Caenorhabditis elegans: one gene and its partner. The protein of the gene in region 1 interacts with the protein of each later gene in a pairwise test. Each region holds a gene or a part of one and is shown on either strand. Other genes may lie near its edges.

Region 1 (3,676 bases):
AGACTTCTTTCTTGGCTTTTTTCTTCGGTTTCGACGAGGATGTTTCAGTTGATCCTCCACATTCTTCTTTGATCGTTTGCATTCCTTCGATACCGTTCAGTTTTTTCATGTCTTCTTTGCCTGAAAATGTGCAAATTTTTATTCTTCAGCATTACTATATTATCCAGATAATTTTGCGATTTTCGTCATGCTAATACGATACCCGGTCTCGATACGGCAAAGTTTTTGATAGATCCAAAGAGGTGTGCGCCTTTAAAGAGTACTGTAATTTCAGATTTTCGTTGTTATGGAATTTGCATCGATTTTTCATAGTTTCAGATAAATAAATAAATATTTAAATATCGAAAAACTAATAAAAGTCTAAAAATTCGAAGTACAGTACACTTTAAAGGCACACACCTTTCAGAATTTAACAATTGTAGCGTCGAGACCGGGAACCGTACTTTCTGGGTAAAAATTGCACAATTTCGCAACAAAAACTAACCTGCAGGTTTACAAACCGCACTTTTTGAATGAAGAACTGTCAGAATCACGAACACGATTGTAGTGATGATTCCGATACCTCCGAAGACAGCCGAAACTATCATTAGCATGCTAGATGGCAAAATAAAGTGCTTTTCACTCATCTTTTTGATGAATGAGCGTTTTTAAAAACTCGAAATGAATAGTTTTGGGTTCCACGTTATTTTTTATTTTTGTAAAAGAAAAAAACCAATCATAATTATAAAAAACAAAACAAGAACAAATTAATTTAATTTGATTGAATTAAATACACGTTCAAATAAATTTCTACCCTCAGATATACATTTTAATGAGTTCTTCTCCAACAGCTTCAGGCTTCATTGCGCCGACATCAGTAATGATCAGTGTCAGAAATTCGGGTGCGGTGTAATCCACATCGGGATGCTCCAATTCTAGGTTGTTTCTCTCAATTACTGATGTTCGATACTGAAATAATGAAAGATCTGATTGAGTTATTTGATATAAATTGATTACTTTGAATTCTTGGGGAATATCGGCCTGGTTGAGTGGGAACTCCCGTACAAACTTGATAGTTTCAGCGCAAACATAGACGGGAACATGCCGTGATTTTGCGATGATACAAACATTAACAGTTCCAATTTTATTGATGATTCCACCGGTTTCCATGACTCCTTCAGCGCCAACTAGAACTGCTTGAATTCTTTCCATGACATATCTTAAAAAATAAAAAATGTATATACGTTTTTCTTATTGTTTTTTATAATTTCCACTCACCCCACACAGCTATCTAGAACTAAAGTAGTTGGAACTCCATTCTTTTTCAATTCTTCAAACACTAGTTTTCCTGAAGCATCCGGTTGCGATTCGGTGACCCAGACATGAAGGTGATATCCACTTTTGTGAGCATCAAGAATAGTTTCCAGAACCACTTTGCTGTATGAGTGTGTCAGAATATTCTAGAAAATACAAAGATTAAAATACATTAAATAGGAATTATTTAAATAGAAAAAAAAACGTACCATATGATGAGTGAAAAATAGACGAGCGCACTTGGAAATTTTGGCTCGAGAACCTCTGACATTCTTTATAAATGAGCGTGCTCGTTGGCGATACAGATCAAGAACTTGAGAAAAATCTTCTTGATCGAGAAGAGCAGCTGGAGCCAGAGAAGTGAATCTGGTGAACAAATCAGCGGCACTTCGAATTGATGTTGAGCTGTAGTCCGTTTTCTCGAGAGCAGCAACTACTTGATTTAGCTCATTTTGAAATTCGGCAACGGTGGTGGCTGTAATTAAGCAAAAAATTAATTGCCTAAATATTCAAATTCAGGAACTTACCGCGACTCCGGTCTAAAACCTCGAGCAGTGTTTCCACTGTGGCTAGACTCGTTGATTTGCTTGGATCGTTTTCAAGTTTTCCACGGAAAGATGAAATAATGCTTTCTTGAACCATGTTAGATGGAAAAAGTCTGCAAAAACAATAATGGAGAACGTTTGTCGTAGAAAGAAGAAATATTTATAGAAAAAATTTAATGAAAAAATAATGATGTAAACGCGCTCTATCGTTACGCAGAGAAGATAAGAGTTAGAGAGTTAGACAGTTTTGATAGTGGCAAATTTAAAAACAAAACATTTTTTTACTTATGTATTTAAAAGGTTTCGTGAAATTTAATTTATTTTCTCAATCTCGAATAAACATTTTAAACATATTTTTTGAGTCAGTCAGTTTACTTTCTACTCTCAACTATTTACGCATCTAAAATCTCCCATTGTGTGGCGAACTAAATAGGATAATAAATAATAATTTTCCTTTTCGAAACTTTTATACTATAATTAATTCCCTCAATTTGCTCCATAATCTCCATTAATTTTCCTCGTGTAATTGCTTCGTAGATCATTTGAATCGCCGCCGTGATACAGTACTATTCGCTAACCTGCACATCTTAAATACCATCGACAATTTTTTAAAAATTCATTTTCCATTTTGTTCATTGATTTCTTGGTTCTTTTTCCATTATTTTTGCCTCAATTTGTGCAAAAAGTGCTGGATATCGAATAATCCACAACGCTTTTCTGTTGTTCTTTCGGTTTTTGGGCCGTTTCTAGATTTTCCTCTCCGTAATACGAATTCTCGTGGGGAAACACGTTTTCCTTGTTCTTTGATTAATTTCTTTTGTACTAACTTTTCGACAAATATTTATTTATACTTTTTACAGAATCAAGCTTGTCCGTTTCGAAAATGGAAGAAGAACCGTACAAAAGAAAGCTAACGAAAGCCGAGAAAAAGGCAAAATATCGAACAGACTACGCCGAACCGTTGAAGTCACGCCGGGAAGTTCTGAAAGCAATTATGAATGGACCCGAGTCTGAGCGGGAGAGAAAAGTTCGAGCCAAAAATCGAGAATTTTTCAACGAGGACTATAGATCAGGTAAACATTTTAAAGTTCTTTTATTATTAAAAACTTTAAAAAACCCTCATTCATAATCTATACATTTAAAGGAGTCAACATCTACGGAATGGCTGTGGATATGATGAAAGCGATGCCGGATAGAGGAAAAACATCGGGACAAAGTTTGGCGGTTTGGTATCTGGAGGATTTTGGAGTTTGGTTAAAAGAGTCGGGACAGGAGACGGAGCTCAGACAGAAATATCTGACTGGAACTATTCAAATAAACGCCTTAGATGTGTGCACAATTGGACAAAAGCAGCTTCTCAGTGAAATCTTCGATATCACCAAAGAGAAATTCACTGAGGACATTACACAGTTGCTAGATGCTGCCATCAAGAAACAAGACTTCTCCGTTGCTGCAGATATGGCTATTCAGTACAATCTTCTACGGGATCATCATTTCGAACATCTTGTTCTTCCATTAATGCTATCTGGCAAAGATCAAACGGCTTATAAATTGATAAGTAACAATGAGAGGATGCAACAGCAGCTTGTAGAGTTTTTTGATCGAATGGTTGGAATCTCAGTGGTTGCCGTTGAAGAGATGCTGAAACCCTACAAGGAAACCAAAATTATGACGATTCCTATGGAGAAATTGACGGGAAAAACGTTGGACAAACTCATTTCGACGATTATCAACAAAAATACTCACGAATACAACTTCTCCAGGGAATTGTCGAAGTTCGCCAAAAACCACTCACAGAATGGGAATCTGAAGGCATTGAAGTTTAATATCAGTGAACG
Region 2 (3,667 bases), 1.3 Mb from region 1:
AGTTGTTTCCTACAGTAATATCATTCCAAAATTACAATTTTATAAAATACAGTATTTATGATTTTTGATCGACCATTACATAAAGAATAACCTGTCATATTATTTTTATTGCCAAAATAATTATTACTCAAGTTTTTCTAATCTCGGGAATATTTATATAATTAGAAGCTAAATGTTGCCAAAAGCTTGACCTACCAAAATAGATTGCAAATCGAGTCCTCGCATTTTGAGAACTTCCAAAGTTTGATTGTAGATGTTAACTTGAATATAAGTTGACATTTTTCAGTAAATACCAACTTGTCGAGTTGCAAAGCAGGAATGAATCAATGACACAGCTGGGCAGACCACAAAGTAAGAGACTCGAAACGCAGACGGTTCTAAGCAGCGCCGACTCACTCCTTCTTTTGCATTATATCTTGTGTCTCACTCGTGCGTTCTTGCCCTGTGTGTTTTCGCTCTCTGCATTTTTCTCTCTATTTTGTAGTTTGCGTTGGACGCCGAAATGTAGTCATGTTGTAGACTACAACATATAAGTGGAGGAATATTTATCAGATTACCGGGATGGTAAAACAATTTCAGAGGGGAAGAGGATACGAATAAGTTAAAATAAAATGAGATAGATACTGCAATAATTAATCCTCACGAAGTGGCAGGAACTTTACGACGACTGGCTTTCCGGCTTCAGCGATGACCAAGTGAATTTTGTCTCCAGTAGAGATTTCACGCTCAGCAGCACCACGGAACGAATCCTAGAAAAAATAAATGAATTAGGTTAAAATTACGAAATTCAATTATACCTTCATCAATGAGATGGCTCTGTCCAATGTGAGTTCCGGACGCTCATATCCTTCAGAGAGCGTAACGTGCCCGATTTGACAATCCAAGAATGGAATGATCATTGGTTCAGCGGCTCCACTGGCTGAGTATCCAAGACGCTCGATACATCCGATTGGGTCGTAACTGAACACGGCCCCTTTTCCGTGCTCGTCAATTCCGGCAAGAATAGCTCCAGTGTAGTATGGGAAGAACCGACGGTAATAGAGGTTGCGGGAGAGAAGTTCTGCGCAAAGATCCACAGACATGTCAGAGCGATAATCGAAGCGGTACTTGTGGAGACGAGATTGGAGAACTTTCTTCAATTGGAGGACATCTCCATAGAATCCAGAGGTGGTGAGGATGATGTTATCATTCCTGAATTAAGAATTATTATTAAAACAAAGACAAATACTGGCTTACAAAATTTGAATCTTCTCTGCGTCACGTGTAAGAATGTTGATGTCGTTTTGGGTCATTCTAGTATCACTTGCCACGATGGCAAAGTTCTCCCCAGAAATGGCACAGGTTGATCCTCCCTCCATTGAATACGGGTTCCAGCGTTGACGCTCAATTTGTCTGGAACTCATCCACTCTGGATGAGCTGCAACTTCCTTCATTGCCTGCTTGAACATTGCCATTTCATTGGTGGCGTTGGCGACAGCCGTGATTCCAGTGAAGCTTGTCATCTGAAAAAGGCGTATACTTATTTAGTTGAAACAATATAAATATTCAATATGACAAAATTCAATTAATACAGAAAACAAATGCTCGAAATTTGAGAATTCAACATAACAGGAAATGCTGACAATGAGAGACATCGTCATTTACAATGTTTAGTCCGCAGTTTTCTGCGCGTTCAAATGCACATCGCACATCGAACTATACGACACTTTGCTGAAATTTATTGAAACGCGTTTTCCTCTCTTTTTTGAATGAAAATTCATTTTTCCAAGGTATTTTTGAGGACAATTCATCGCTTTATCTACATTTCTGATTAAAATTTTTGTGATTTCTTTTTTTCAATAATTGATATTTCAGATGGCAGATTTCACAGAGCAAACTTTGCGACAGAAGTTAACAAATTTATCAAACCACCCTTCCTCAATTCAGACGACTTCTGCCTGGCTTTTGCAAAATCATAGCAATCGGGAATTGATCATTCGAGTTTGGCTAAAGGTATTTTATTCATATTGTATCATTTTTTAGTGTTGTATTTCAGACAGTAAAGAAAGAAACACACGGCTCAAAAATTGTAAATCTTCTTTATGTGGCGAATGATGTAAGCCAAAATGCGAGAAAGACTTGCCCACAATTCAAGGACGAATTTTTTCCCGCAATAGAAAGTTCTTTCAGGTATTGGCATTTTCAAACGTCTAATCTCAAAATTAATTTCAGGCATGCAATCGAGTTGAAAAATGCAAAAGAAGTGGAACATGCAATTGGTAAACTGATCAATGTATGGAAAGATCGTCAGATATTCACTCCATCACAATGCAAACGGCTTCATGAAGTTCATCAACAAGTTAAGCTATCTGGAAGCTTCCCAACACCCGCAGTTGCGAACAAGGAACATGGAAAGGTGTGTGAATTTAATAAATTCCAAAAGAATGCCAAAATGAGCTTAAGGTCGCTCAACCTAGTCAGTTCGTCGTTGAAGAAGCGAAAAAGAATGCACAAGATGTTTTGCTCAGTTTGAAGCGCCTTCAAAACCCGCCGAGCACGGAAAGAGAAATTCGCACAGAACTTTCAAAATATCCGGATAATATTTCGTGCCCAGAAAAGTTGCAGTCAGTTCGAAGTTCGCAAGAAGCACAGTCTCTGTTGGTCCAAAATGAAGAAGCTCTTCCGATGCTGGAGGAATATGTTAAAAGGTTTGATTGAAACTTTTGTGAATTGATTTTGTACATTAACTTATGCTTTCAGGCTGAAAAACGAGACAAATGAACGCGAAACTCTCGAATCGAACTTGAATATGCTTATAGAAAATGTTAGAATGAGCATTGAACATCACGAGAAATTGTGCAGAGAAGTTAAGCGTAGAGAAGATCGAATCAAGGCAGATTTGTTAGAGGTTTGAAAACTAGAAAATCAGTTTTTGCAGACTTGAATTGAATTTCAGGTTGAAAAAACATTCGAATCGTTGCCAGATTTGGCTGCTGAGATGCCAAATGCACCATTGCCAACACTTGAAGCTTTGTTCGAGAAGAGGAAAAAATAAGTATCATACTACGTCATAATTATAACTTTACGATCTCAGTAGCTTTTACTGTACCCCCATTGTTGTATAATTTTTGTTCACTTTGATCTTTTACAATCGTGATCACCATTACCACATAAGTGCTTTATACGTTTTTCTTCTGAACCACCTTAAATGAATTTATTTTTTCTAAAATTCAAGTTAGTTCTATTATCTGAAAACGGTTCTTAACCAGTGTTTATCTCTGAAAGTTTGAAATTAATTGTTTAAAAGCTGATATTTTACAGATGGGTATTCTGGAGAAAATTGCAGAAATCGAACATGAAATTTCAAGAACCCAAAAGAATAAAGCCACTGAATACCATTTGGGTCTTCTAAAAGCAAAGTTGGCAAAATATCGTCAACAATTGTTAGAACCAACAGGCAAAGGAGGTGCCAAAGGAGAAGGATTCGATGTAATGAAAAGTGGAGATGCGAGAGTTGCAATGGTTGGATTTCCTTCCGTCGGAAAATCGACTCTATTGTCCTCAATGACTTCCACTCACTCAGAAGCTGCTGGATATGAATTCACAACTCTTACGTGCATTCCTGGTGTCATCTCTTACAACGGAGCCAATATTCAATTGCTCGATCTTCCTGGAATCATTGAAGGAG

What was found.
Region 2: the proteins of eif-2Balpha (region 1) and pbs-6 interact in a two-hybrid assay, tested with the Caenorhabditis elegans proteins (2 studies listed by BioGRID).

Annotation. Positions count from the first base shown.
Region 1 is NC_003281.10:9,541,401-9,545,076, reverse strand, and holds eif-2Balpha (Translation initiation factor eIF2B subunit alpha), read right to left. Parts: upstream 1,959-3,676; 5' UTR 1,936-1,958; coding exon 1,821-1,935; intron 1,769-1,820; coding exon 1,503-1,768; intron 1,440-1,502; coding exon 1,258-1,439; intron 1,199-1,257; coding exon 997-1,198; intron 949-996; coding exon 796-948; 3' UTR 673-795; downstream 1-672. Other genes in the region: ZK1098.9 (uncharacterized protein), read right to left, coding at 1-120, 485-626; Exonuclease mut-7, read left to right, coding at 2,722-2,911, 2,983-3,676.
Region 2 is NC_003281.10:8,242,591-8,246,257, forward strand, and holds pbs-6 (Proteasome subunit beta type-1), read right to left. Parts: upstream 1,503-3,667; coding exon 1,237-1,502; intron 1,192-1,236; coding exon 798-1,191; intron 750-797; coding exon 633-749; 3' UTR 532-632; downstream 1-531. Other genes in the region: Putative zinc finger protein C02F5.12, read right to left, coding at 196-279; cids-1 (CID domain-containing protein 1), read left to right, coding at 1,855-1,992, 2,036-2,169, 2,212-2,395, 2,443-2,687, 2,740-2,887, 2,936-3,034; putative GTP-binding protein C02F5.3, read left to right, coding at 3,301-3,667. UniProt on the Caenorhabditis elegans protein: Non-catalytic component of the proteasome, a multicatalytic proteinase complex which is characterized by its ability to cleave peptides with Arg, Phe, Tyr, Leu, and Glu adjacent to the leaving group at neutral or slightly basic pH.